Lepisosteus oculatus: one gene and its partner. The protein of the gene in region 2 purifies or fractionates together with the protein of the main gene of each other region. This does not show direct contact. Links are inferred from orthologs where the notes say so. Each region holds a gene or a part of one and is shown on either strand. Other genes may lie near its edges. The genes, in order: drg1 and lrrc41.

Region 1 (15,555 bases), on a different chromosome or scaffold from region 2:
TGGTCTTATACCGCACACCTGAGCTATTCACACTGATCTGTGTACCTGGTCTTATACCACACACCTGAGCTATTCACACTGCTCTGTGTACCTGGTCTTATACCGCACACCTGAGCTATTCACACTGCTCTGTGAACCTGGTCTTATACCGCACACCTGAGCTATTCACACTGCTCTGTGTACCTGCTCTTATACCGCACACCTGAGCTATTCACACTGCTCTGTGTACCTGGTCTTATACCGCACACCTGAGCTATTCACACTGCTCTGTGTACCTGGTCTTATACTGCACACCTGAGCTATTCACACTGCTCTGTGTACCTGGTCTTATACCGCACACCTAAGCTATTCACACTGCTCTGTGTACCTGGTCTTATACTGCACACATGAGCTATTCACAGTGCTCTGTGTACCTGGTCTTATACCGCACACCTAAGCTATTCACACTGCTCTGTGAACCTGGTCTTATACCGCACACCTGAGCTATTCACACTGCTCTGTGTACCTGGTCTTATACCGCACACCTAAGCTATTCACACTGCTCTGTGTACCTGGTCTTATACTGCACACGTGAGCTATTCACAGTGCTCTGTGTACCTGGTCTTATACCGCACACCTGAGCTATTCACACTGCTCTGTGTACCTGGTCTTATACTGCACACCTGAGCTATTCACACTGATCTGTGAACCTGCTCTTATACTGCACACCTGAGCTACTCACACTGCTGTGTACCTGGTCTTATACTGCACACCTGAGCTATTCACAGTGCTCTGTGTACCTGGTCTTATACCGCACACCTAAGCTATTCACACTGCTCTGTGAACCTGGTCTTATACTGCACACCTGAGCTATTCACACTGATCTGTGTACCTGGTCTTATACTGCACACCTGAGCTATTCACACTGCTCTGTGTACCTGGTCTTATACTGTACACCTGAGCTATTCACACTGCTCTGTGTACCTGGTCTTATACTGCACACCTGAGCTATTCACACTGCTCTGTGTACCTGGTCTTATACCGCACACCTGAGCTATTCACACTGCTCTGTGTACCTGGTCTTATACTGTACACCTGAGCTATTCACACTGATCTGTGTACCTGGTCTTATACCACACACCTGAGCTATTCACACTGCTCTGTGTACCTGCTCTTATACCGCACACCTGAGCTATTCACACTGCTCTGTGTACCTGGTCTTATACTGCACACCTGAGCTATTCACACTGCTCTGTGTACCTGGTCTTATATTGCACACCTGAGCTATTCACATTGCATTGTGTCCTGACACTTATACTGCACACCAGAGCTATTCACACTGCTCTGTGTACTTGGTCTTATACTGCACACCTGAGCTATTCACACTGCTCTGTGTACCTGGTCTTATACTCCACACATGAGCTTTTCACACTGCTCTGTGTACCTGGTCTTATATTGCACACCTGAGCCATTCACATTGCATTGTGTCCTGACACTTATACTACATGTTCTGCACACCAGCTGTGAATTGCAAAGAGACAGTAAACTGAGAGCTGAGGGCACAAGGATACTTGGGAGTATTATTTGCCTTTTCTCCCTCTGTAGGGCAGGAAGTGCACTGTGCCTTTAAGGACTCTCAGTGGTACAAGCTGCCCTGCTCTAAACAGAGCGGTCACCATGGTAACTATCACATGCTGCCCTTTTATCTGCTCCGCCCTACCCCCCCCCCCCACTTCTGTCCCACTCACCCCTGCCTCCTCCTCCTCCTCCCTCACTCTCCATGTCAACACATATAACCCCTTCCTCCCAGAGCCGGAGTCTCTCCTGCGACCCCCCCACACCGCGCCAGAACGCAGGTCTTTATTCCCTCCACAAGAGCAGAAGGCTGTGGGCCACCTCACTGATCTTCAGCTGCACCAATTAATTAATTACAGCTTCCGGCAGAGGAGACTTCCTGGGGCGGATCAGCTGGAAGGATCGAGGTGTTCTAGTACAACAGTGCAGAGAACTGGTCCACAGAGCCGAAAGTCCAGCCCGGGCTTTTGTTACATCCACGCCAGGCAGGTATACAGGATCATAGGGTTTTTATATAGCGCCTTTCAAAGCAAACACCTCACACCGTCTCTCCTCCTCCTACTATAGAGATAAAGTTATAACGGAAATCTACGAACATGTTTAAAAGACTCCAATCCTTCTTCTCTGTGCTGCAGAAGATACAGGTTTACAATCCTAGCTCCCCAATGAGCAGCCGGTCGGCAGTGATGGGGCAGCATCTGCGTCAGGCCCTGCGTGACCCACAGTGCTACCGCGCTGTCCCTCCGGTTGTGTCGGACGCCACCTGCGCAGCCAGGTATGGCCGCGCGGAGCGTGTGAGCGCGCACGTGTGCCTGGAACCGGCGAGCACTGCAGCCCACCCCCCCCGGCCCCCCCCGCCAGCCGGGGTGATGTCAGCGTGTCTTAATGGACAGCCAGCGGGACACACCCACGCTGCACTGCAACTGCACTGAAATGGTTCCAGACACACAACCCTTAACCACCACTCCCCCCCCCTGCTGTAAAAGCACCTACACACACGGATACTCCACCCCCCAGCTCTGGCCTCTGCACACTACCTCCCTCCCCTGTTCCCCCTCCCCTCTCCTAGCAACATGCAGAAACTGTCCAGCCCCCACCGCCACACACACACAGTTACACCCTCCCTGCGGCTCTGACTCTGGCCTCTCCCTCCCGTCTCACCCCCCCCACAACAACAACAACAGCGTCCCTCCCCCCCACCCCTCCACCCCTCCTTTTCCTCCTGCAATCCACTCAGCCTTGGAAACCATTTTGTGTCCCTGCAGAATTACAGCGGCTCTGGGCTCACAGACCCCCCCCCCCAGCACACACAGACGCGGGCCCTCCGGCTCTGCGCGAGCTCCCCAGGACAAGTCAGCGACGGCCAGCTCGAGTTTCTGTCACAGCCAGCCTGCAGACGCGCTCTCCCTGTAACCTTGTGCTGAGCCCAGGCTCTGCAGCAGCTTGACCGGAGAGCTCGTGTGCTCAGAGTACAGCCTGTGCCTGACATGTACACTCCAGTCTAGGGCAATAAGCACTGCCTGGGGAAACTACCCCTGTACCGCGTTGAAACTGCCCCAACCGAACCAGATCCAACCCAAAGCTGGGGAGACCCAGTCTTTGTCCATCTGCACATTTGTGGGGTCCCCTCAGTTTATGACTGCACGTCTGCACAGCTGTGGGGACCCTGTGTCTGTCTGTCTGTCCGTCTACACAGCTGTGGGGACCCTGTGTCTGTCTGTCCGTCCGTCTACACAGCTGTGGGGACCCTGTGTCTGTCTGTCCGTCCGTCTACACAGCTGTGGGGACCCTGTGTCTGTCTGTCCGTCCGTCTACACAGCTGTGGGGACCCTGTGTCTGTCTGTCCGTCTACACAGCTGTGGGGACCCTGTGTCTGTCTGTCCGTCCGTCTACACAGCTGTGGGGACCCTGTGTCTGTCTGTCCATCCGTCTACACAGCTGTGGGGACCCTGTGTCTGTCTGTCCATCCGTCTACACAGCTGTGGGGACCCTGTGTCTGTCTGTCCGTCTACACAGCTGTGGGGACCCTGTGTCTGTCTGTCCGTCCGTCTACACAGCTGTGGGGACCCTGTGTCTGTCTGTCTGTCCGTCTACACAGCTGTGGGGACCCTGTGTCTGTCCGTCCATCTACACAGCTGTGGGGACCCTGTGTCTGTCCGTCCATCTACACAGCTGTGGGGACCCTGTGTCTGTCTTTCTGTCTGTCCGTCTGTCTGTGTCTGTCCACACAGCTGGGGGGCCCTGTGTCTGTCTTTCTGTCTGTCCATCTGCACAGCTGGGGGACCCTGTGTCTGTCCGTCCGTCTACACAGCTGTGGGGACCCTGTGTCTGTCCGTCCGTCTACACAGCTGTGGGGACCCTGTGTCTGTCCGTCCGTCTACACAGTTGTGGGGACCCTGTGTCTGTCTTTCTGTCTGTCCGTCTGTCTGTGTCTGTCCACACAGCTGGGGGGCCCTGTGTCTGTTTTTCTGTCTGTCCGTCTGCACAGCTGGGGGACCCTGTGTCTGTCCGTCTGCACAGCTGGGGGACCCTGTGTCTGTCCGTCCGTCCGTCTGTCTGTCTGTGTCTGTCCATCTACACAGCTGGGGGACCCTGTGTCTGTCTGTGCCTGTCCACACAGCTCTCTGGGAAAGGAGCTACATACCTGGAACTGCTACTTCCTGACTCTCTATGAGCGATTCGTAACAGCAGTATAACACATTAACAACTGAAACTCAGGTAGAGTGTTCTTTTTCACTGGATTAATTCCGCTACCTCTTTTCCTCTTTGAGAAGTTACGTCTAAAGCTGCTAAATAAAATAAAGTAAATAGAGAATATAGTTTATTATTGTATCATTATTAACGGAAGTCCTGCAGAAGCAACATTTCCAAAAGTTTCCCATTTCTAAGGAGGAGCTGCTGCAGACGCCCCTCAGACAGCGGGAGGGGGACGCGGCTCGATGACCCGCGGGAAGGAGGGCGCAGCTGGCAGGGCGTGTCCGCGCTCACCTGGCACTTGTGCGGCCTCTCAGACGTGTGCACCTGCTTGATGTGCCCGTTCAGGTGGTCCGGCCTAAACAGAGAGTCGGACACAGGAGCACAGGGTTACAGGCGCCTCCCCTCGTCCGCTGGACAGCTCCGCCGCTCTTCCCCACACCAGGCCAGGACCCCGGCCCCCCCTTCCCCAAACCGGACCTGACGCCCGGGATCCATCCCCGTTCCCCAAACCAGACCGGGACCCGGGATCCCCATTCCCCGAGTGGGCCTGGGACACAGCCGGGCGGAGACGCTCCAGGAAGGGCAAAGCAGCAACACTTCCGAAGCGAACGAGATCCGGGGGGTCCCCGTTCTGGAACTGGGGCAACGGCAGCCCTGGTTCCGAGTGGATCAGACCCCCCCCCCCCCGCTCCAGGAAAATAATCGTTGGGGTTAACTGTGCAGGGGAGGTCAGGGAGGGAACTCCGGGCCTCGCTCTTGAGAGGACCGGGCCCCTTGGCGTCACCCACACGGAACGAAGGCAGGAGCCCCACTCCGGGGCACCCCCCTCTCGCCGGCCTCGGCACAGCCAGCAGCCACCCTGACACGAGACCCAACCCGGACCCTCTCGACAGAGCGGCGCAACCCCCCGAAACCCCCAGCCCGGGTGAGAAGGGCAGGACCTTCCACCCGGCTCCCAGCTCCCAGGAACCCACCCCCCGGGCATCACTGACCGCCCGAACCACGAGCCCGCGCGGGCGCACCGGGCCGGGCCTCAGCTGCAGCAGCGGGGCTCCGTGGCGCCGCCCCTCTGGGGTGTGCAGGGGTGGACCCCTGTCCCCAGCCCGGAGGAGTCCCGCCCGGCGCTCCCCTTGCGGGGCAGGAGCCCGACGCGCCCCCCCTGCGGGGCGGCCCCCCCCGGACTCACCTGGAGAAGCCCTTGCCGCAGCTCTGGCAGACGTAGGGCTTGCCGACGGAGCCGTCGTGCGAGCGCACGTGGTAGGACATGCGGTCCTTGCGCTTGAAGCGCAGGCCGCACACGGGGCAGGCGTAGGGCTTCTCCCCGGAGTGGGACAGCTTGTGCCGGTTCAGGTGGTACACGTCCCGGAACACCTTCCCGCAGACGTCGCAGCCCACGTGGCGCCGGGTCCGCTCCCGCTTGCGGGCCGAGTCCGCCGGGCCGGCGCCGTGCAGCCCCAGCCCGTTCTCCAGCAGGCCGGCCGGGGGCGGGGCCGCCAGGCCGGGGGCGCCCCCTCCCGCCGCCCCCCCCGCCGGGGCGCCCCCGTGCTGCGCCTCGTGCTGCCGGAGCCGCGCGGCGTCCGTGAAGATCTTCCCGCACAGCCCGCAGGGGAAGATGCCCAGGTCCTTGGGCACGCCGGCGCCGCCGAAGAGCAGGGGGTCCATCGCCGGCACCTTCTTGGGGCGCCCCCGGCCCCGCTTGCCCCCCACCCCGGGCTGGGCGCCGCCCCCGCCCTGGAAGGGGTTCCCGGCCAGCTCGGGGCCGCCCACGGGCAGCCGGTCCACCGTCTGCAGGGAGGGCATGACCTGCTGGCCGCCCGCTCGGCCGCCCCCGTCCACCTCGTGCGCCGGCCCGCCGCCCCCGAACACCGAGCCGTTGGCCACCAGCCCCGCGCCGTTGGACATGTCCAGGGGGTAGCCCAGCTCGGGCCCGCCGGTCCGGAAGAGCGCCAGGTCGCCGCGGGCCGGCGGCACCAGGATCTGCACGTTGGACTGCTTGATGACCTCCTGGCAGATCTCGATCACCGAGCGCATGAGCAGGAACTTGGCGGCCGTCATGAGCTCGGGGAAGCACTCCAGCCGCACCACGATCTTGGACGTGTAGGCGAAGTCCAGGATGTCTTTGAAAACTTTGGGGCTGATCGTGTGCATCTCCAACTCCTTCGTCTCCCCGTCCCCTTCCGCCTGACAGCTGAACACCGACTCGAAGTACTCGCTGCACGCCGCCAGCACCGCTTTGTGCGCGGGGAAGCTCTCCTCGCCGACCCGCAGCAGAACGTCGCAGAAGCGGCCTCCGGTGCGGCGCTGCACGTTGAGGTTGTGGAGCATCTCGGCGCTGTGCTTGCTCACCTGATACGTGTACGACGAGCTCCACGGCTGCTCCGCTATCCTGTCCATGTTGCCTTCATTCAAGAGCGACGTATCTCGGCGCTTCGAGGGGGGAAACGCAGGAGCAGAAGTGGGAAATTTAAAAGAAAGAGAGGAGGAAAACAAACCGACCCAACTCGCGGAGAAATCCGGCGAATTTCTCTTTTTAAAAACACACGGCACACGCACCCTCCGACACCTTAGCCCTGCTCGCGTCTCTTTTGCATCTAAAAAAAAAATGTTTGCAGGGAGGAAAAAATGGCAGCCCCCCAGCTTCCTGTGAACTTTGACCTTTGTTTCGGGGGGGGCGGACCAGCCGGGAGGGGGGTAGGGGCACTCGGAAAGCGCTGTGTTTTCCGCGCACCAGCCGGGGGGGTTGAGAGAGGGGGGCGAGGCGGCGCGGGTCGGACTCTCCGGTAGCCAGCGCCTGGACACGGCCGCCGGCTCCGGGCTCGTCTCTCCCCTCCATCCCGGCCTCCGTCTCCTCCCCCCTCCCCCGCGCGATTCCCAGGCCTGTTTTTCCAGCGCGGATGCCCCCTCCCACAGAGGCAGCGCGACACACAGCTCGGAGCGCCGCCGGGATTGCGAGCTCGCAGGGATTCGGCTCCTCCGAGTGACCCGCTAGTAATAACAATAATAACAGTAATAATGATGATAATAGAGACGGGGGTGTGAAATAGTTGGCGAATAAAAGCCGTTTCTACGGTTAACGCTCTCAGCCAAATGCACCGCCGATGCAGAGAATAGAAACTGGATTTTAGGGACCAGAGGGGCTGTTGTTTTTAAAGACCCCGCTCCAGCCCGACCGCGGGGCTGCGCGCGTTTCGGACTCCACTCATCCAGATATCATAAATCCGACCCCCCTCCCGCTTTCCCCCCGTGTCAGGGGGAGTTGGGGGGTAGCAGGTCCCACAGCCGCCCACGGGGCAGCACCGACGCAGGCGGACGCGGGATCCGCAGGTGTGGGCGCTGGGGGGGGGAGGAGCGGTGCATTGTGGGGTGTGGGTGGGTGGGTGTGTGAGTGTGGGGGGGGTAACTCGTAAGTGTACATTCTAGCTTTTTACCGTTTAGCTGTCAGCCGGGGTTCTCGAGTTACAGCAGGGCAGGGAAGCCTCTGTGCTCATTAACTCTTTCGCACTTGTGTGTGTGTGTGTGTGAGCCCTGCAGACGCCACAACAGCCCCCTGCCCCAGGGGGTGTACGAGCACCCCCTGCCCCTGGGGTAAACAACAGCCCCCTACCCCTCTAGGGTGTACAAGAGCCCCCTGCCCCCTGGGGGTGTACTTGAGCCCCTCGCCCCCTGGGGCAAAAGCGATCCCCCTGCCCCCTGGGGGTGTACATGAGCCCCCTGCTCTCTGGGGCAAAAGAGAGCCCCCAGACCCCAGGAATTTACCTGCACTGGTGTGCTTGTCTACCTCTTGGGACGGGTGCCTTATATACCCCTGGGGGCAAGAAAACATTCACTAACGTTGCGGACCAGAGGAAACAACACAGCAGCGGAATAAGAGCAGAAAGTGTCTCTAAATTACAGGTAAATCCAAACATTCCCACGGCACCTTCCAAACATCACACGTGTGAAAGGTCAGTGAACAGAAAAGAGAATATATTGGGGCGGAGCAGTGGCTCTGTGGCTCAGGATCTGCGCCTGTGGCTGGGAGGTTGCCGGTTCAAATCCCGCAGCCAGCAGAGGAATCCTACTCCGTTGGGCCCCTGAGCAAGGCCCTTCACCCCAGCTGCTCCAGGGGCGCCGTATAAACGGCTGAACCTGCACTCTGACCCCCAGCTTCTCTCCCTGCCTGTCTGTCTCATGGAGAGCGAGCTGGGGTCTGTGAAAAGACAAATTCCTAATGCAAGAAATTATAAAGGGTTAGTAAAGTGATATTATTATTATTATAATAGACAGTCCATCCGAGCGAGAAGTTCAAGGAGAGACGGAAAGTGGCGAGCGAGTCAGTCTGATGGGAGAGTTCAACACACAGCAGATGTGTGGGGCAGCAGCTGGCAGGAGACTGCTCTGGCACCACTGCTGAAACGCTCCTATTGCCTTCTGCTCGCCTTGCACGTGGAATCAGCTGTTAATCTCCCAATTATTCCCCTCCTCCCTCGTTTCGGCGCCGAGCTGGGACCGCCACTCCAGGGACACGCTCCGCAGGCTGCAGAGGTGCTGATGGGGTCCGCAGAGCACCCCAGAATCCCCCCCTCCCTCTGCTGGCTCCCCGGGAGGGATTCGTCTTCCCAAAGTCTGAGCCACCGGCCAGTGGGAAGATCCCGGCGTGCTCCGCAAGCCGGCTTGGCTTCCCCATCGGATCCGAGTCGGATCGCACACAGCTGCAGGAGCAGTGAGGACTTGGGGTTTGGCCGGTAGGGAGATGTTGTGGACATGTGGACACACATGCACACAGATACACACAAGCACACACACGCACATACAGGCACACAGACACACACACGAGCACACACACGCACATACATGCACACAGACACACACACATGCACATACGTGCATGAACACACACGCACACAGTCTGACACATGCACACAGACACACACACAATCACACACATGCACACACACATACTGTACGCACGCAGGCACACACAATCACATGCACACACGTGCATGCAGACATACACACAGATACACACACAATTACACTCATGCACATAAATGCACACACAATCACACTCACTCATACACACACATACATGATCAGTTCTTGCACCTCCGAAGGTCCGTAACTGGTGACTTTCAGCAGGGAACTAGTTATGAAGTCAATTCAGCATGAAGTAAAAGCCTAACCTTTGTAGGTCTCAGTAACAGGGCCTTCACAAGCCTGTGAGCTGGGTGACATTCTCAGACCAGTTAGCCCCTACGTGAGAGCACACGTAGGGGGCTGGAGTTGTGCACTGTGAGGCACTGTCGCTCTTAGAGTCCGCAGACATTTCCCCCACGGAGCTGGGGGGGGTGCTGCAGTACCTCCTCCGCACCGCCAGGGGCGCCCTGTTCCCCCAGCGCCGCTGCTGCTCGCTGCGTGGCCGTGGTTTCTCGCGAGAGGCGCTCGCCGTGCCGGAGCCGGGCGTCTGTGTGTGTGAGAGAGAGGAGAGAGGAGCGTGGGGGGCTTGACAGAGGACCGAGCGGCTACCGAGTCTTCACCCTTCGTTATACGCGAGAACTGCGGCAGCGGCGCACCGGCGGGGAGGAAGAAGTTGGTGTCGGACCCACAGCCGCCATGAGTTTGCTGGCGAAGATCGCCGAGATCGAGGCCGAGGTGCGTGTGGACGCTGCAGGGCTCGGAGCAGTGCTGGCGGCCGTCTGATTTGAATGATTCCTGATGTCCTCCGGGTGGGGTCTGTCCCGGCGGGCCGGGGCGTAACGGCTTTCGAACACGGGTCCTGGTCCAAGCCCGGTTCGGAACCGGAACCGCCGAGCGAGCGGGACAGAGGGGTTCTCGCGGCGTCCGAACTCTGTTCTCGGACCCGTGCGTCTGCATCGGGGGGCCTGGACCCCCGGCGGCCTCGCGGCTGGAGAGCTCGGGTCTGGACGGCGGAACCGGAGCCCGAGTGACACACGCAGGCAGGGCAGGGCGACCACACAGGGCGCCGGGCCGGAGGGTGCTCAGCGCTACTGTCTCCTCTCACTGCGACTTGTATTGTTGCTGGTGTCGTTCTGTAAAACGCTTTGAGAAGTCACCTTTAAAGGCGCTGTATAGAATAGTTTATTATTATTACCTTTTGGGTCTGAGAATCTCATCCAGCTGCTTATTCCAGAGCAGCCTGCAGCATGGAGTGTGGAGCAGGCAGCCCAGCAGGACCCTGTGATCGGTGTTGAAACGGGACTGAGAATGTGTGTTCTCCCCTCTTCCCTCTCCTCTCTCCTCCTCTCCCCTTTCCCCCTCCTCTCCCCTTTCCCCCTCTCCTTTCTCCCTCTCTCCCTCTCTCCTCCTCTCTCTCCTCTCCCCTCTCCTCCTCTCCCCTCCTCTCTCCTCTCCTCCTCTCCCCCTCTCCTCTCTCCCCTCCTCTCTCCTCTCCTCCCCTCTCCTCCTCTCTCCCCTCCTCTCCCCTCTCCCCCTCTCTCCTCTCCTCCCCTCTCCTCCTCTCCCCTCCTCTCTCCTCTCCTCCCCTCTCCTCCTCTCTCCCCTCCTCTCCCCTCTCCCCCTCTCTCCCCTCCTCTCCCCCTCTCTCCTCTCCTCCCCTCTCCTCCTCTCTCCCCCTCTCTCCTCTCTCCCCCTCTCTCCCCTCCTCTCCCCTCTCCCCCTCTCTCCCCTCCTCTCCCCTCTCCCCCTCTCTCCTCTCCCCTCCTCTCTCCCCTCCTCTCCCCTCTCCTCCTCTCCTCTCTCCCCTCTCCAGATGGCTCGGACTCAGAAGAACAAGGCGACGGCTCACCACCTGGGCCTCCTCAAGGCGCGCCTGGCCAAGCTGCGGCGCGAGCTCATCACGCCCAAGGGTGGCAGCGGCGGGGGGACGGGAGAAGGTGAGGGCGCTGGGGGTCAGTCCTGGTTGATTCCACGCTGGGTCACAGGGAGGAGCTGGCCGCCCGGACCTGCGCCAGGCGTGGTGCTGGTGGTGCGCCCGGTCCCGCCGCCGCCCCGGCTCACCCGCTCCCGGTGTCGTTGGCAGGGTTCGACGTGGCGAAGACGGGCGACGCGCGGATCGGCTTCGTGGGCTTCCCCTCGGTGGGCAAGTCCACGCTGCTCAGCAACCTGGCGGGCGTGTACTCTGAGGTGGCCGCCTACGAGTTCACCACCCTCACCACGGTGCCGGGGGTCGTCCGCTACAAGGGCGCCAAGATCCAGGTGGGGCGCGGGCGCCGGCCGCCGGGAGGGAGGGGCGGGACGGGGGACGGGGGACGGGGGCGCCCCGATTGTGACCTCCGTGTGCCTCTGTGCTGCAGCTGCTGGACCTGCCGGGCATCATCGAGGGCGCCAAGGATGGCAAGGGCAGAGGCCGGCAGGTGATCGCAGGTGAGAGGAGACGCCCGCAGCAGGACCAGCTGAGGTCCGCGGTCAGGACCTGTGACCCGGGTCCTCAGCGGCGCTGCTGGAGTGAAAACGACGCCTTACTGTCACTTCATGCACGGAGTGCATCATCAGCCATATCACCTTGCAGCTCCCAGCTGGCAGCCCCACTGAAGCCCAGCAGGGTGAGCCTGGTCAGTACCTGGAGGGGAGACTCCTGGGAAAGCTGAGGCTGCTGCTGGAAGAGGTGTTAGTGGGGTCAGCAGGGGGCGCTCACCCTGCGGTCTGTGTGGGTCCTGATGCCCCAGTATGGTGACGGGGACACTGTACTGTAAGAAAGGTGCCAACCTTTGGATGAGACTTAAAAGCGAGGTCCTGACTCTCTGTGGTCATTAAAAATCCCAGGGTGGTTCTTGAAAAGAGTAGGGGTGTAACCCTGGTGTCCTGGCCAAATTTCCCCCTGGCCTTTACAGTCATGTCCTCCTAATAACCCCCATCTCTGAACTGGCTTCATCAGTCTGCTCTCGTCCCCACTGAGAGCTGGTGTGTGGGGAGTGTACTGGCGCATCACCCAGTTGGGCCTGCACACTGGTGGTGGTAGTGGGATTTCTCAATACCTGTAAAGAGCTTTGAATGGAGTGTCCAGAAAGGTGCTACATAAGTGTAAGGAATTATAATTATTATATTATTACTTCTGTGATGTTGGAGGTGTTGTGTCTCAGTGGACAAGCGGACACAATGACTCGCCTGAGTGCGATCCAGTCTCAGGACACAATCAGTGTGGTGCCACAGCTGGCTGGCCCGGAAAAACAATGGCTGCTCTTTGAGTGTGCTCTATCATTTCAGTCCACAGCGTCAGAATGTGGAGCTCAAAGCAGCTTGTGGCTGACAAAGACTCAGAGGGCTGCATTTGGGGTTACTGCCGAGGAGCTGAAGGACCTCTGTAGCTCCACACACAGTTAGGACCAAGAGAACGATAAAACACTTCAGCTCAGTCGGCGTTTTGGTCTTTGTTGAATAACTCTTGAGAGATGAGAACCGTTTCAGAAGGAAATAGGATCAAGCGTACAGACGAACAGACTTGGGAGTCTGGTCAGGCTTGAGCAGAGTTGTTGAGTTGGTTAGCTGAGTGTTGCCGAGAGCACGAGAGAGCTGACGGCCCTGCACTCTTAACCCTGGCCGCCCTCCTTCCCCCAGTGGCTCGAACGTGCAACCTGATCCTGATCGTGCTGGACGTGCTGAAGCCGCTGGGACACAAGAAGCTGATCGAGCACGAGCTGGAGGGCTTCGGCATCCGGCTCAACAAGAAGCCGCCCAACATCGGCTTCAAGAAGAAGGACAAGGGTGGCATCAACCTCACTGCCACGGTAATTCTGGGAAGAGGGAGGGTCAGTGTGTCCTGTCTCACTGCCACGGTACAGGGCAGGGGCAGGAATTCTGGGAAGAGGGAGGGTCAGTGTGTCCTGTCTCACTGCCACGGCACGGGGCGCGGGGCAGGAATTCTGGGAAGAGGGAGGGTCAGTGCGTCCTGTCTCACTGCCACGGTACGGGGCGCGGGGGCAACCACTGCAGGAATTCTGGGAAGAGGGAGGGCGGCGAATCCTGTTTCATCACCAGGAGACAGGGCGTGGAGTTGACCCACTGGTACAGTGGGAATTCTGGGAAGAGGGAGGGAGGGTGGGTGCGTCCTGTCTCACTGTCAGGAGATGGGGTACTATGGGTGAGGGGGAGACCAGGAGCTCAGCAGTGAGTCAGACTGGGTGTGTTGAGTGTGGAGGGTTCGATAATGTTCTTTTTTTATAACCCCGACAAAACATAGCTATAACAGCACTAATTTGAAGTCTCTTCTGAGATGTGATTCTCCTGCCTTTGCCTGGAGTTCTATAGTTGTCATTTCTTCAACACAGCAGAGCTCATATCTACGCACTCCTCCCCTTTCTCTCAGTGTACACAGAGTGAGCTGGACGCAGACACGGTGAAGAGCATCCTGGCAGAGTACAAAATCCACAACGCCGATGTCACCCTGCGCGGCGATGTCACCGCCGATGACCTCATCGACGTGGTGGAGGGAAACCGGTATGAGCTGGACTCCTGGGGGTGGTCTGCGTGGTCCCAGAGTTAGCAGTCACACCTGGTCTGGTAGAGTACAGGTCTCCCAGTGAACATGAACTCCTGCACCACCTGAACTCCTAATGACTCCACCAATCGGTTGCTGGTTTAATTCAAGGGCACCGCCAGTCCACCCAGGTGTAGATTTCTCACCTTGTCTGTCGATATGAAAGACAAACACGCTGATCTCATGTTCTCTGTGTGTGTTTCTCCCCTTCCAAGAGTGTACATCCCCTGTATTTATGTGCTGAATAAAATCGACCAGATCTCGATCGAGGAGCTGGACATCATCTACAAGGTGCCCCACTGTGTCCCCATCTCGGCCCACCACCGCTGGAACTTCGACGATCTCCTGGAGAGGATCTGGGAGTACCTCCAGCTGGTCCGGATGTGAGTCAGGGCGGGGAGGCCCGTGGAGAAGCCGAACTCCGGCTGTTCTGTGGCGCGGAGGTGCTGTATGGTAGCGGGGCTTCTGTGATGCTTCCTGGCTGTCCCGGAGGATCGTCCAGGCAGTGACAGCACATCCGCACGGCCGCACGAGCTCGATCGCGCCCAGAATCGCCGGGCAGTCGGAAGGGTGCCCCTTGGGTGACTCCCGCCTGGAATCCGGGGCTGTTTCCAGCCCGGCCGCAGCAGGGGTCAGGCGAGGTTGTTCGGAGTGGCTGCCACTCACCCTGACGATGGGCGATGGCAAGTGTCTCGTTCACTCCACTGACAGCAATAGGGGATGAAGTGGGGAAACTGCGGAGGAGCGCGCAGAGGTTAATCCTGACCGTGACTGACCAGTAGAAGGAAAATGAAGCCTTGTGTGTGGAGCGGCACACCTGAGGGAGACCCCGCAAGGGGGAAACACTGCTCCTTTTCTTTCTGCTTTTCAGCACGGAATCATCCTCACCTTAGAACAGCCGTTCTGCCGAGAGCCCTTTGTGCTGGAACTGTGCCCGTTCCCCGTCGCTGTGAAAACTGCACATCCTTGCTACCCACTCGTGTACAGAGCAGGAGCACAGACAGGGGTGCTGCTCAGTTACAGATAGGCCGGGGAGAACAGCGTTGTTGCTGCCTGTGTCCTGGGGGCTCGTCTACGCGCCGGTCGGGGTCTGGGCTGGAGGAACACGTGGGGGGGTAGCGTGTTCTCCTGGGAGGGTCTGGGCGAGGCCCCGCGTGCTGCACCGCTCAGAGCGGCCTTGCTTTTGAGAGCTGTTTTTTTTTTTTCCCTGCTTTAACCCTCGACGTACGGTACCCCTCGGCCGCAGCGAGGTATCTCATGCCCCCCCCTCCCGCTCTGTGTCCTCAGCTACACCAAGCCGAAGGGTCAGCTGCCGGACTACACTGCTCCTGTCGTGCTGCCGGACGACCGGACCTCTGTGGAGGACTTCTGCCTGAAAATCCACAAGAACCTCATCAAGGAATTCAAATAGTGAGTCCTCCCGGTCCGGGTTCGAAGCCGGGGAAGGTCGAAGGCCCCTCGGCCCGTCCGGCTAGTCGTTAACCGATCCCAGGGTCCCATCCGTCCGTTTTCTGGGAAGAAGCCGGAGTATATCGGCTTCAGCAACGTGGCTGCTCTGTCTGCGCGACGTTCCCGGTGAGGGACCGGCCCGGCGTGTTCCAGATGGGGGAAGACGGGGGCTGGTCACGAGGCCAGAGGATATGGACTCCAGAGCTGCAGGGATCCTGTGCTCTTGGGGGTCCGCTTAGAGCCCGGAAGTGGGATGAGTCAGTCATCTGCCCTCTGTTTTCCCAATCTTGAACCCTGGTGGACCTGCGGGTGTCCAGATGTCCAGGACTGGGCTCGGCCTCTCTGGACTGAAGAGACCGGTGAGCTCTGCAGGGTCCTGTGTGTTCAGCACTGGCCTGCAGTAGGAGGGGTGTGACACCCCA
Region 2 (14,676 bases):
AGCTGCGCGAGCTCTTCTGCCTGCGCGAGGACACGGCCAGCGACACGCACAGCAGGTACCCGCCCGCCTCCGAGACCACGCCAGGAATGGTCAAGGGTTCAACTTTTTTTTTTTTTTTTTAGTCAAGGCGACGGGTAAGTTCCCCAGTTGTGTAGGTATGGGCGGAGCGGTGGCTCAGTGGCTCAGGATCTGCGCCTGTGACTGGAAGGTTGCCGGTTCAAATCCCGCGGCCGGCAGAGGAATCCTACTCCGTTGGGCCCCTGAGCAAGGCCCTTAACCCTGACTGCTCCAGGGGTGCCGTACAATGGCAGACCCTGCGCTCTGACCCCCAGCTTCTCTCCCTGTCTGTGTGTCTGTGTCTCCATGGAGAAAAGCTGGGGTATGCGAAAAGAGGGATTCCTAATGCAAGAAATTGTATAGGGCTAATAAAGAAACATTAGAATGACATTTATATGTAAAGTCCACAGCGTCTGAATTGCTTCATTATTTTAAAAATGAGAGGCTTTCGGTTTTTCAACAGGGTTAACTTGTATGGGTAACCGCGCGGGTGTTTGCATCCACTGGTTTCTAACTTGGCCCCCACGTAAAAGCGATCACCTTGTCGATATTGCAATGACTGGGCGTGTGGGGTCGAACTTTGTTCTTGGGACACGTACAGTGTGACCTAACCTGATGTGCCCTAGGTTCCGCTGCCGGCGCTGTGTGAACGGGCGGCAGGTCCGCGCCCCCCCCGACGACGCCGACTGCACCAGCGACCTGTCCCAGTGGCACCACGGCTCGGACAGGAGGGGCTTGAGGGACCCGGTGCTGCAGGCGTCCTGGGACGCGGGCGTCTCCTTCGTCTTCCACCAGCGGTCCCACGAGGACCAGAGAGGGCTGCTGTGACAGGCTGGCTCGGCCTTCAGCGGGACGAACCGGAGCAGAGCACATCTTCCATCTGCCGGCAGGTGCTGCTCTCTCCGACAGTCCTCTCCCCGGGAAGGACCACTCACGCTTTGGACTTGGATCCGCGTTATCCTTACACTTTGAAAGCAGAACGGGAAGATGGGAACTCCGACACCTTTATTTTTAATTTAAAGACAGAGGCATCTCATTTGGACTTAAAATGTTTCTTTTTTGAGGGCAAAAAGGAAATGCCCCTACCCCCATCCCCCCCCTTTTTTTTTTAAAGCTTCAACTCTGTGGTGTAAATAGTTTGTGTCCCGCAATGGCACCGTAATAAAAATCAGAACTGTAAGCGCCGCGGTGTTGTGCGTATAATGAGATTCGAAAGGGAAGAGTCTTCCAAACGGTCAACTGAAGAGCACGTCTGACATTTCTGTTGGGGTTGTTAGGTTCAGAAACGAGCACTTCCCAAGATCTCAAATGGTAATGTGAATTAGTGGGTATAAAAACGCCCGCCCAGCTTGCTCTGGTCACATGACACTGATGTGGTCTGCGAAGGTGGTCCTGGAGTTCCAGCAGTCTTTGGTCACGTGGCACAGTGCCTGCAGCTGCCGCATAGCACGCTCGGTTTTCTGGGGGTCTCTGTCCAGGGGGTTCTCTCGCACATCAAGCTTCAGATGAGGCGAGGGGGGGTGTCTTCCCAGCAACCTCCCAAACTCCAGCAGCCCGTCGGGCAGGATGTAGTTAGAGCTGTGCAAATAAAACAGGAATTCACGCAGCTCCTTGACATTCGCCAGCACTGTCAAAGTTAGAGCATCTGTTGCAGAGCTCTACAATAATCCTGTTTAGCAAGTTTGTTTTAAATATACAGTATATAAATTACTGATTTCAGTTTTGGTGTGTTTATACCGTACAAGTATGGAAATTCAGTTCTTTAAAGGTAAAATGGGATTAGTGATAAGTATCAACCCTGTACCATTTTCTGAGTTTCAGAACTGCCCTGAAATGGGTTGCCTGAAATGTAACCAAACGGAATCTCTGCAGTAGGAAAAAATGCTCATTGTGACTGTCTCATTCCTACTATGGGTGTCACATGCATCATCACTCCCACCTGTGTCTGTTTTTCGTCAATGGATCAACTGGGGCCGTGTACATTTCTGTGTGCTGGTGTAAGGTATTATCGATAGTCAGTACTGACCGAAGAAGCAAACTAAATTAAAAACTGAAAAAAGCCAGCAGATCAATTAAAATCATCGACAGCACTGCAGATTTAGAGCTCAGCTAGAATGAAAACCAGCAGACACACAGTTCCTCCAGGACCAGGGCTGGAATAATATAATTACCTGACGTTTAAGTGCTGAATTCTGCCCAGAGAATTTTCAGAAAACAGGTCAGCAAAGGCTATCAGGCCCTGATTACCTGTTTGGAAAAAAAAAAATCAAACAGAAAAGGATTAAAATGTGCAACAGGAGAACCTCAGTCTGGAAGGGAAAAGAACCTGAGAACAGTCACAAACGAAAGGAGGCTGTCGAGCCATTTAGCTTATGTGGTAGTTATTGATCCAGGGATCTCATCCAAAAGTTTCCTTGAAAGAAGACAGGGTATCAGCTTCAGCGAAATGGAAAAACTATTCCAAAGCTCACCCAGGCGGTTTTTTGACACAGAAATTGATCTGAGGGATGTCTGTGCCTTTACTGTGTCGACGAAGCGGCCCAGGAACTCCTCTTTGTTCCTTTCAAACAGGCGGCAGTCCGTGAAGCGTACCTCTAAAATGGGAAAAAATGAATCACTGACGGCTGACGTCAGAAATTACGATTGTTTTTTTTTGCTATGGCCCATCAATGCCTCAGTTTCCTCAAAGACCTCAGCTGTAATTACTAAAGAAACATCATGTCGGGATATTTTTTAAATGGTAAACGTATTCAGCAAGACTTTGAACAAAAAACCCATAAATGACTGTTTATGAACATGAGCACCAATGTCAGCATGAAAGAAGTCCATCGGGGGAAAAAAAAGGGCAAAATTAAAAATGTGGGTAACGAAACCTTCAGCGTGCGTCAATATTGTTGACTGTATCGTTAAATAAAGTGCTTGTGGGAAATTGTTGAGGGGAGAGCTACGGCAAATAACATTTTGACACTGTCCGTACACAGAGGTGGTGAGCTCAAATCCACAGTCGTACAGGAAGTTTTCTTCACTTGTCGCCGACCGAGGGAACGTTACCTTGCAGAGCAGACCTGTTCAGGAGGTGAAGCACTTCATCCTGACAGCCCGAGAGGCAGAGTTCCTCCAGGGACAGGGTCAGCAGGCGGGGGTTTGACCCTACCACACACAAACAGGACAGTTTTCCGTTCAGTCTCCTATCTGCGTTATATAGGCAGCTGCAGGGTTGGGATACTCAATCGAACAACAAGGGACGGTGACATGCCAACACTGAAGGGGTTGAAGTTGTGAATACTCCAGGTCCTGGAACTGCACGAGTAATTTAACCCCAGAACCTCTTTCCCCCTGCAGGGCGGTGTCTAATGGCCATGTTTCATTCAGAGCAGCAGGGCGACAGAGGACCAGAGGCTGTTGGTACCTGGCAGAGCTAGCAGCAGTGCGCTGAGCTGGGGGGTCTTGCAGCGGAGCCCTTTCAGGTGGAGGCTGGTCAGGCTCTGCGCCCCCTGGAGCACGGTCACGAAGCCCTGAAGGTGCACAGGCTCGACTGGGAACTCCACCTGCAGAGTCTTTACAGAGCTCACTGGGGAACAAAGGCCATAATCCAGTGTCGGTTTCGTGGTTTGAGTGAATTTGCCCTCGGTTTAAATAGTCTTCAAAATATTCAGCAGGCCCCGTACAGTAAACATACGTGGCTCGTGTGTTTGCCTCTCAATTTAAAATTATTTTTTTTTTAAGTATGCTAGTTATTTTCTATCCCAACTACGAATTTTCAACCAGAAACATTAGGCTTGTTGGAGAACACCAGCTCATTTTGATTATTACATTTTGTCTGTCTGGTTTCTGTTGACTAGCGAAGGGCACGCAATTCCTAACTTTGAAACATTACGACATGCTGGACAGGGCGTACTTCATGTGATGCAGCACAGTGCTGTCGCTCCGAATGGCCCTGAGAAAGACATACGTTACCTATGGGTGCAGGCTGGTGAGAGGAGCTGCTGTTCCCCTCTGCTCCATAGAAACCAAGCGTAAGAGCCTCCAGCCCAGGACAGGCAGAAAGCAGGCGGGCCAGCAGGGTTGCCACGGATATTCTGCAGCAAACGCTGGTGATGGACAGCACTGAGAGGGAGCAGGCTGGGTTCTGGTACAGCAGGCGCAAGGCTTCCACCATCTCCAAGAGGCTGGGCTCCTCTATGGACCCTGCAGGCAGCACAAAACGGGTAAGAAACTGCAACATGGGGATGCAGGCTGAGAGAGCCGAAAGATCCTAAAATCCATTCTTTTCTTTTTTTCCCCGTTTATAACCAAACATATGGCGAGAGCTTATTCCCTCCCACAAACGTTAGCATCTGTACGTGACAGAGCCCTCTTCAATACATACAGAAGGCCAACGGTCTAGAAAAACTGGGACAGCCTTGCTCAGGGGAGACTGACATGTCGGTCCTTGGCTCTGACGCTGGAGCTGCCCTACTCACATTCACACGTCACCTTTAGGGAGCAAAGACAGAACCAGGAAGAGAGAAGGGGCGAGAGAACTCGGGAGATGACTTCATCGCATACGTCAAGCACCAGAGCAGTGATTCTTCTGACAGGGCAACCTCCCTTCCCTGAGACAAGGGAGGGAAAAGAGGAGAGAGTGCAACCAGGATCCAGGATTTCAGAGTCCACGCACTGGCGGAGTGGTAAATGAGGGGTTCCATCGAATCTACTGCATCCGCCGGGCTCAGCGCCACCCCTGGGCTCCGAGATGTCAAGCCGAGGTAATTTCAAGGCTTTTGCACACAAGTCATCTACCAGTCTCCTTTTCCTGGCTGCACTCTTGTGCTCCTGGTTGCAGCCCTGTGCCTCCTGTGACAGGCCTGTTCCAGCACCGGATGTGTTTGGTCCAAAATCGGAACGCCTCTCATCTTCCAGATCCTGAGTGCGAGATGAAAACGACTGACTGCCCTCCTGTTTCTTGATATCTTGGTGACCAGCGCTCATCCGAAGGATCCAAGTCCAAAGACTGGGGCTGGAGATGCTGCATTTACTCATGACCAGAGTCTGGACCGAGCCGTGGTGGAGGAGGCGATGGATGACGAAGAGCACCGGGCTGAAGTCGTTGTGGAAGAGAGAAAGTCTGATCTCCCGGAGCTTCAGCTGCGTGACGGTGGCCTCCAGGGTCTTCAGGACAGGCCGGAACTCCTCCGAGCTCAGCCGGGACGTCTGCGCCAGGGACCTGGAGAGGATGAGGACCCTGACGTACTTGGCCGCCAGCGAGAGGAGGGAGAAACGGGGGTCTCGCAGACGAGGGTGTTCTTCTTCACTGAAGTGACCGAAAGTGACCATGTGGAAGAGACGCTCCAGGAATTTCTGTCGCCAGTCCTTAATTGGCTGAAAAAATTAAATTAACTGATTAATATATAGAGACTGTATTAGAGGGGGTGGATTTACATGGGGCTGCGTGTATTGTACAGACTGCTGTACATGACCTGCATGCAGAAACCGCTGCTTCACAGATGTCTCTCTAAATGAGAAGGATGTGCAGCTGTACTACCTGTTTATAAGTCACTTTAAAGCTTGTTTGCTTCAAATTAGTCAGATATGGAAGTACAGAGTGTCTCTATCCAAATTTTAAGCACTCCTACAACAAAAACACACTGAAAATGTGTCTTCATTTTTGAAAAGTGCATAATTCGCTGCTCCCTATGTATAATTTTGTATCTATCTTTTTACAAAGTCTAAATTCACTTAAAATAATTGATTCCAAGTGGGTCTGACCTTGTTTCCAGGAGGCCTGATTTTGACCACTTCCATCCAAAGTCCAAACCACACAGAAGCAGTGGACAGGCCTAAAAAGAAAGTCAGCTTTTAACATTTCGTTTAGATGCCTCGCGACACCTGCGCTGATTAGACTGCTTTGCGATAATCCTTTATTTATCCAGTCTGGTCTGTCGAGAACACCACAGCTGCACCGAAAACAGTGAAAGAAAAGGAAAATTGAATAAAATGAAATAAAATACATGCAAAACGGCTCCCATGGGCTGTCAATATTCTCGTTCCCATGCACCAGGACAGGACAGAGTTAGCAAGTGTGGGTGTAAGGCAGTGAATTGCTGACAAACTTGCAACACACATACAGTAGCTACAGAAGTGTTTAGCACGGTCCTCTTAGAATGAATGCATTGCAATTGCTCTGGGTAAGGTGCTGTGTGCTGGCATGTTTTTCCTCAGCCTTGACTCCTATGATAAAGCACAGCTGCACTCCACGGCGTGCCCCAGCCCGCAGAGCAGCCCCGTCTGTACGTGCCTTTGCGAACAGCTACGTCCTCGATCCTCTCCAGGTAGAATATGTTCAAGTGCGGCAACAGCTCTTCAATAAGAGAAGACGGTATGTCTGTGGGGAAGGCACAGGGGCGATCAGTAGGAAACAGAAAACAACCAAGCGCATCAATTATAAGTGGACGAATACACCAAGTCCTACCCTTTTACCCTTTTTGTTATTTACTTCTCTGTAGATGTGTAATAACTTGAACGAACGCCGCTTCACACAGTGAAGTTTACGACGGGAAGGTAACGCCGAGGATCCGCAACTCTGAGCACATTTCGATCACTTGCATTACGTCATGGCGTCAGCTAGACCGTTTCTCAAGTTGCAGGTAGTTCTCACACTTTTCTATCGAGGAAAACTCGTGTGAAAACAAGTTGTAGGACCGCCTCTACGTTTTCGGAATCAGCAATAAACGGTCACCCAGAGATTTAAGTCCTTGTGTCTCAATCACAAGTACTTTAAAGAAAATAAAAGTGATCTATTTTTTCCGCTTTTCTGTTTGATACAGTTTCTTACCCCAGACTTGCTTTTCCAGTACGCGCATGTTTTTGCTGACAGCTTTGATACATATTTTCAAAAGAGGCGCGGCTACATCTGCTTCATGCTTGTTCTCCATTAGTGCACGGCACGTTTATAATAATATATACATACTGTATGTCTGACCTCAGCTAGAAAACTCACGTATACTCTGTTCCCCTCTAACCAGCACTACAGTACAGTACATCACTCTCTTCCCAAGTCAACACTGTTTGCACACACTGACTCCAGCAAACACGTGTTCCTCTTCCGCCTACGTCACATGACTCCTCCCCCCGCTTATCTGAAATAAAAGGGGTGTTTGGGTTTGTAAACGATGTTATTATTCTCAAATTACCATGCCATTGCGTGCGACACTTTCGTGGCAGTGTAAATATGGTTCAGAATTATTCAGTTCATCATACCTTAAAGTAAAGGTGTATTTAACGTATAGTGAATTTATTTTTATTGTGTTTTGAAACTATAGATAACTATAAATGGGGTATAGATAAGATATGAGCACTTTATTGGCCACGATATACACTGATACAAGATCAGAGAGAGCTGAATGCAAATAAGGTTTTACTTTAAGGTAAGTAATTAACTTTATGGAATAAATTGCTCATCTTAATGTTTATATGTGTGTGATGACGGTAACTGTTTTATCAGTACTTGCGAATTACAGAGTTCAGACCAACACGTTTTGCATATTTTATTATTTAAGAAATATCACTTCTTAAATAAAACAACTCTTTTTAAGATGATCTTGTTGTGGATGTGATGTTGTATAATCAGGCAGTCCATGTTGTGTTTAAACAGTAGGGAATACCTGAAAACATGCCCGGATTTGTGAAAACACGCATTTGAACCTTTAAAATTAATCGACTTTTTATGAAAGGAAACTTTTTCCAAAGGCCACGTGTTGGCTTTTTTTTACATATTGGCAAAATAAGTGTGCGGTAGTTTCCTTATAATTATTACAGAGCAGTACTGAGGTGAAACACCGTGAAATTCTGGAATTCTAAATTGATACCATTTTCATGCCCGATGAGCAAGGAAAGGAAGACGGCGGAAATACGTCAGAATGCCGGTTGTGCAAAAGCCCTATTGGCAATATCGCAGCTTCCGGTAGTGTTGTTCGTAGTTTCCGGCGTGTGACCTGAAGGTCCTCCAGACGCACTCGGGTTGTGGTGGAGAGGGAGCGTGATTTAGACCGGTTTGTCACCCCCCACAGTAATCATGGTTTTGACAGAGGAGAAGATGCTTACGAACGGAGAGCCCGACGAGGTACTCATCTGAGATGCGGTTCAATGAAAATAGTTTAAAATGACCGGAAGAGATGTTCTGTAGGCTGTCCGTGAAGTGCGTGCGTCCAGTGTCTTCTCGGGCAAGGCCTGGTTACGAAACGGCGTTCAAATGCCGAATGAGGGGCTAGTCCTCTCTTCTTTTTTTAATATATTTTTTTTCAGTGCCTCTAGGATGCCCCGCTGTCTCTGGCAGCATCAGAGCGGCGCCGGCTTCCCTGTGTTTGATGTGTTTGATCCCTTGTCAGTGGGAAGGAGAAGAAAGGGCTGTGATCGTTTTCTCGGTAGTCCGAAAGTCTTGCTGTTTGAAAGCTAAAGTTGTACTAAATGCAAAACAACAAAAAATCAGTGGGGTGGTCTATTCGTGACCGGTACAGTGTGAACTGTTGCATTCCGGATGGTAATTTTAATGTTGAATTCATGGTACCATTACGTGTTCATAGATCTGATTTTGCACATCTCATCCAACTGCTTGTTATCCGCTTTGAAAGCTCATTCGCTCATACGTTACTGCATGCTTCGAATGACATCTGACTAAAGAACAAAGTATGCTTTTTTTCAGTAATGCCTTGTACATGTACAGCGCCTTTCATCCCAAATGGTCTTGTTGCACTTGGCCTGAATTGCACCAACGCCTCTGACAGCCCATTGCCCCCCATTACTGGGCCCCTGGTGTTTGACATTCCAGTGAAGAGCGCCCCCTGCTGGTCCCCCAGCCTGCTTGCAGAAGCTGGGCTTTCCTTCCCAGTTCTCATCAGGCCCGGCCTTGCTTCAGAACCCTGCTCAGTTCTGGGTTATGTCAGTGTCTCCCAGGAAGCATAATGGGGGAAAAAGAAGGACATTGACTCTCAGCAGCGGAGCACACCAATAAATAAGAAAACTGCAGGGATGTATATTTACTATTGAAACCATGAGCTACTTCTATGCTCAGTGTTGTAGGAGTCTGCAGAAGGCTACCCAGCAGTGCTGTTTATACTGATACCCGGCTTCTTTTAAAGGAACTGCTGGATGGGATCCTTGGGTCTATGGGCTGCTAGCAGTCTAAATGTGGTCAAAACAGGACTCGGCTTCCTGCCATTTCTGAACTTCATGTTCTTGTATCACCACCCCTTTTGTCAGTCGTGGGCTGAGAGGTGGAGCTGCACTGTCTGCAGCAAGTGTTCTGTGGGTGTGGAAGAAAAATGTTGGTGAAGATCTCAGATGTTGTTTTCTCTTAATTGTTTAACACTTTCTCTACAGGTCGAGGAAGAGGAGGAGGAGGAAGAAGAACTGGTGGTGAGTATGCCTCCATTCTTGTCCTTACTCCAGGGGTGAACGCTGATTGATGGCCGGAAGTTCTTCCACAATCTTTCCCCCAGGGGGGCAGTTTGTGTGGCTCTCTCCCTCTCGGTCTGCCTCTGGAGTGCCGACACGCTGGTATAATGGTGTAGCTGGCGTGTTATTATAAATGGGGTGGGGGGAAACAGAAGCAGTAGTTGGCTTCTGCTTTTGAGACCGTTCTTATGTTGAGTTGTGTGCATTTGGGGGATTTTCCCGAAGAATCATTACAATTCGCGTAGCTCTTTTTTTTGGAGTCTCTGCGAAACCAGTTTATCTCTTTAAAAGACTGTTCGTCAGCACAGTCTGAGGGGGTCATGGCCAGAGGCTCAAGCCTGGTCCAGCCAGGTTCTGGGGATGGGGGGGGCTGTCTCCTTCTGCGGCAGGCTCGGCGCCCTGACCCCCCCCCCCCCCGTGTCTCTGCAGGACCCCCTGGTGGCGATCCGGGAGCAGTGCGAGCAGACGGAGCACTGCGTGCACGCGCGGGAGAAGCTGGAGGCCTGCGAGGCGCGGGTCAGCTCCCGGTCGCAGACGCTGGAGGAGTGCACGGAGGAGCTCTTCGACTTCCTGCACGCCAGGGACCACTGCGTGAGTCGCTTCGCTCGCCCGCCAGCGCGAGCCGCGCGCTGATCGGTGTTTTCCCAGCCAGGGATTTCGTTAATAAGAGCGATCAGAGCAAAACATTCCCGCAGAAAGCTGGGCCTCGGAACGGGACGAGCCGTGCAGCTCTGATATCGGAAAGAACACCTGACACACATTCCCATCAGTTTCAGACCAACCCATAATCGTTACATAAGCTCCGAAGTGCTGTTTTTTGTTTGTCTTCTGATCGCACTATTACTTACCTGATTGTAAAGAGAGATTTTCTGTTTTTATTGCCATCAAACATTATCGTTTATGGAACCCTAAAAAATTCTCCAGCATATCTGGAAGGGGAACTTTATGTGGTAAAATGTGAATACATTTTAAGTTTGAATAAAAGATCTGCTCTGTGCACTGATAACAGATTTTGTTTTTTACCCTGTAGGTGGCGCACAAGGCCTTCAAAATGATTAAGTGAAGTCGGCACAGCTCTGGCGTCAAGCTCCAGTTTCTGTGGTAGATGTCATACAGCTGTGAAGTCTGTATTTAAATAAGAAAACGGCGCCGATCAGAAAAGTTCCTGATGTCCGTTTCTTCCCCATGCAGTTTCAGGAAATGTTTGAAAACCTCAGCTAACTGTGTATGTGTCCACATGTGAATAAAATGACATTCTTTCTGAATCTGCTTTCCTGTGTCTAAAACATGTGAGAGACAACATTTGAAGGACTGACTGTGCGCTTACTTGTGTTATGAAGGTCAGTTTTGAATGATTTTTTTTGGTACGTGACACTCACTGCATATTATTTGCTTAGAAGATGCATACCCAGGGTGACTAAGATCCAGGACAATGAAATTAGGAGTGAGAGCAGCAGGAACAGTAACTATAAGGTGAGTCAAATTAGAACGAGGCCAATACAAGCAGGAAGAGCAGTGCACATGCTCACCAAACCATGTGAAAGAAAATATACAGTGTGGATAGGAAGCATTAATAAGAACTCGCTTGTACGTATGTTGTGTTTGAGTCAGTGCAATATGGGATGAAGGTGGCAGAAGATAAAGTGAGAGCTGAGAGATCATGGGTCCTGCCTTCCTGAAAGCATCTTGAACCAGTACAGAAAGGTGGTCAGGGGTGGCGATGAAGGTTTTGGGTGATACGCTACAGACCGATATCTTAGCTGGTCTGCATTACTGTGTGCATCGATCCTGTTGCTTATCTGGAGTTTTATCTGACATTGAAAGGCCTAAGCTTTCAGAGTGGGGAAAAGTCTCTGAAAACATCCCAACAGAAACCTGATATCTTCCATGGATTACAATTAAGTGAGACTAAGAGAATGATGCCATCTTACACCTTGGAGCATTTCATTATTTATGAGCTTATTAATGCACCACCTTGTGTGATTCGTGTGTCTTGTATTGGTAGACTTATTGTGGCCAGTGCTTTTGAATCTCAAACTTGACAGATTTCTGGAGCTCTCAAATGTTACACTGTTGCAACATCTATAATAAAAGGATTTGCATCTGCATAGATCTTATCGTTCCAAAAGACCCCAAAGTATTATATATATATATAAAGGAAAGGACATTTCACCTACCACTGAATGAAGCACCCCCAGCACTGCAGATAAGATAGAGGAGTGAGTTCCTTTACAACTGTACCACTTGTATTAAGAATTTAACCAGAGTATACTGAACATTTCTCCTCAGTGACATATATTGTTTTATGTGTCCATATGTAAGGCAGTAAGTGAATGAGGAGAAAAAATAATTTCCAAGCTCGGAACTCTCAACTTTAACCCGGCGGACCGATCGTTGCGGAAGATCGTGTTTCCCGGGGCATTTTGTACTGTGACATTCAATATGGCTGCGCTCACAGACACGAGAGTGTTGCTTCGGAAACTGAAGGGTTTGCCTCATTTTATTCCTTGCAGAAATCGAGTGAAGAAGAAATGGGTAATATAATCCTCAGAGGACGTTTTATGCCGCTGAAATAGGAAGTGTTCTCTGTTTCGAATTCAGCAAAACGAAGCGCAGACAGGTTTAATTGGACCCGCACTAAACTCGAATTAATCAGATAAATACCCTTGCTATCTTAATGATATTTGCGCGAAAGAACGAAAATATTTAGGCAGAACAGCTATGGTCGTTTACTATGACTAATTTAATGTCTATGATATATTTGATTGATTTCTCAGTCAAAAATAACTGTAAGCCTCAATGTCTATTTCCATCCAAGACCGGCGATTTCTTTAGTTTACTATCCCTGATTCTCAAGTGATTTCCGTTTGTCTACTGTAGCAAAATCAAAATTCACTCTACACCTAAAGTAAGCTCACGTATACTGTACATATAATTAACGGTAACACAGGGAATGCTTTTGTATCGGCATGCAATATATTTGAGTATTTTTTTTTATTTAAAAAAACATCAAAATCCACAGAAAGTGTACATGAATGCGCGCCAGGTTCGTTCAGGACTTAGAATGGGCGTATGTTGTGTTATAAACGCCAGCAGGCTATAGTCGTCATAGGGAAAACGGGTGACATTTAAAAAGCAGCATCGTTGCAAATGTGCCGCTCTCAAATTTGGAATGAGAGCACGCTTGTGGAAACGCTTTAAGGTCATTCGGACAGTAAGCAATGACATAAGGACCTCTACGTGTGTTTGCATCTGGTTCTGCATGATTCTTAGCTTCATGTTATTGTCATAGGAATCGGTGCTGAACTGTAAGTCCAGGGTCTCCATTCCCCCGACAGGCTGCCACTCAACCCAAGATCTCCTCCACCAGGCTGGCCTTGCAGATCTTTGACATGACGTACGGCACCCAGTTTGCAGAGCAGTGGCCTCCAGTTCGGGCCAGCCTGCTGTCGGAGCAGAAGTATGGAGCTCTTGTCAACAACTTCTCCACGGCGCAGGAGGTGGTGGCGGGACTGGAGCAGCAGGGGGCGTTCGACTTCGTCCAGGAGGCTTTCAGGAGAGACTGTGCCGCAGGGCCCGGTGTGGACGGGCCAGGCACGAGTCGGGACCCCTCGGTAGTCGCCGGACCTCCGTGCGCTGGAGCCCCGGAATCCAACAGTGAACCCCAGAGTTCAGGATCACTACAGGATGGCAGATTCCCAAGTCTCAGTCCAAATATCAAGTGCTATGTTTTCCCTAAGGGTGACATCACGCGTTTCAGGCCTGCAAGGTGAGAAATCTCTAACCATGCACCAGCTGTGACCGTAGCCTTGTCTTTGTGGTGACAGTGGCCTGCTCTGTGTCGCCAGCACTGATCACAGTAGATAGCCGTTAGTGGTGAGATTGTCTCTAACGTGGGGCATTCACTGCATCTTATCTCACGAAACTGCCCCAGAAATGTAGCTGGATCAGAAAGGAAGTCTTCAAAGTGTCAGCGCTAGGGAGACTTAAAAAGAAAGTTATTGTAGACTGTAGGGCATAGCTCTGCTACATAAGGCGTAGGTGAAACAGGAGGAGGTGAAACATGCCGCATTTTGATGGTTGGATTGACACCGGTCTTTATTTTGAAGGAGGTACAGTTGCACGTCTAGTGCAGAACATGACTGCGGTGGTGTTTTCTCAGGCCTGACCGCAGTGGTTTCCTGGGCTACTACCTGCTGGACGCGGCCTCGGTGCTGCCCGTTTTGGCTCTGGACGTGCAGGAGGGCCACACTGTCCTGGACCTGTGCGCCGCGCCAGGGGGGAAGACGCTGGCTCTGCTCCAGACACAGGCCTGCTGTAATCATTTTTCCTTCATACAACACATGACGTCCGGGAGATAAAAGACCAAGAAAACTATTAGTTTCTGTAAGCTTTATGTGGGAAACTAAATGCACGTTGAAGGAACCTTCAGGGAATATATCAGTGTGAGTGATTGATGGTGTCGTTTTAGCCCAGCCGTGATGAAACACGGACACGTGCTGTCGTGTGTGTGTTCACAGGGCGTCTGGCAGCCAACGACGCCTCGGGGTCCCGCACTGCTCGCCTCCGAGGGGTCCTGCAGAGTTACATTCCCAGGGTGCACTGCTCCGAAGACAAGGTGCGCATCACTTCCTTCGATGGCAGGAAGTGGGGTGAGCTCGAGAGAGAGACTTTTGACAGGGTGAGTAATAAGATCAGACTGCCCTGATCTGGGGCCTTATGACACGCAGCACTTATTTAGATCTCGTGGTACATAATCGACAAGTCTGCTTTTGGCAAAAGTAAATGTAATGGTGTCTTTCCTTCACTGTCATTAGAGAAGATGTGCTTCCCTGTGAAGCTGGCAGAGACCTTGTAGTGACTCTGTGTTGTGGCTGCCCAGGTCCTTGTGGATGTGCCCTGCACAACAGACAGACACTCTTTGCTGGAGGAGGACAATAACATATTCAAGAAGTCCAGGACCAAGGAGAGACAGAGACTGCCACAGCTCCAGACAGAACTCCTGCTGTAAGTGAGACACTTACACACTCTAGTGCCTCTTTCTTTTCTCTCCACTAAACATTTTGCAGATTCGGGTTGTCAAAACATTTTTACGCCTCGAAATCTCCAGACAGTCAAGTTTTCTTTCGAAATACTCCTGTTATTGTTGTACTTTTCAGGAAACAGGCCGCTGTTTCCTAAAATCTT

The links.
Region 1: the proteins of lrrc41 (region 2) and drg1 purify together in Homo sapiens (affinity purification with mass spectrometry; 3 studies listed by BioGRID and IntAct, counting the BioPlex papers as one, with this or other methods). This does not show direct contact. The link is inferred for Lepisosteus oculatus from reciprocal best matches to the Homo sapiens genes LRRC41 and DRG1.

What each region holds. Positions count from the first base shown.
Region 1 is NC_090717.1:730,774-746,328, reverse strand, and holds the start of drg1 (developmentally-regulated GTP-binding protein 1), read left to right. Parts: upstream 1-9,621; 5' UTR 9,622-9,843; coding exon 9,844-9,882; intron 9,883-10,960; coding exon 10,961-11,084; intron 11,085-11,230; coding exon 11,231-11,406; intron 11,407-11,504; coding exon 11,505-11,574; intron 11,575-12,765; coding exon 12,766-12,935; intron 12,936-13,513; coding exon 13,514-13,644; intron 13,645-13,899; coding exon 13,900-14,067; intron 14,068-14,971; coding exon 14,972-15,094; intron 15,095-15,555. Other genes in the region: patz1 (POZ-, AT hook-, and zinc finger-containing protein 1), read right to left, coding at 4,543-4,606, 5,438-6,645. UniProt on the Homo sapiens protein: Catalyzes the conversion of GTP to GDP through hydrolysis of the gamma-phosphate bond in GTP. Appears to have an intrinsic GTPase activity that is stimulated by ZC3H15/DFRP1 binding likely by increasing the affinity for the potassium ions.
Region 2 is NC_090704.1:3,307,877-3,322,552, forward strand, and holds the start of lrrc41 (leucine-rich repeat-containing protein 41), read right to left. Parts: upstream 7,178-14,676; 5' UTR 6,972-7,177; coding exon 6,872-6,971; intron 6,422-6,871; coding exon 6,335-6,421; intron 5,877-6,334; coding exon 5,806-5,876; intron 5,419-5,805; coding exon 4,521-5,418; intron 4,246-4,520; coding exon 4,015-4,245; intron 3,629-4,014; coding exon 3,467-3,628; intron 3,208-3,466; coding exon 3,109-3,207; intron 2,652-3,108; coding exon 2,529-2,651; intron 2,305-2,528; coding exon 2,229-2,304; intron 1,636-2,228; coding exon 1,416-1,635; 3' UTR 886-1,415; coding exon of another isoform or gene 684-885; 3' UTR 56-683; coding exon of another isoform or gene 1-55. Other genes in the region: rad54l (DNA repair and recombination protein RAD54-like), read left to right, coding at 1-55, 684-885; uqcrh (cytochrome b-c1 complex subunit 6, mitochondrial), read left to right, coding at 8,111-8,158, 9,415-9,450, 9,919-10,080, 10,520-10,552; 5-methylcytosine rRNA methyltransferase NSUN4, read left to right, coding at 11,932-12,024, 12,828-13,258, 13,652-13,806, 14,010-14,170, 14,372-14,496. UniProt on the Homo sapiens protein: Probable substrate recognition component of an ECS (Elongin BC-CUL2/5-SOCS-box protein) E3 ubiquitin ligase complex which mediates the ubiquitination and subsequent proteasomal degradation of target proteins.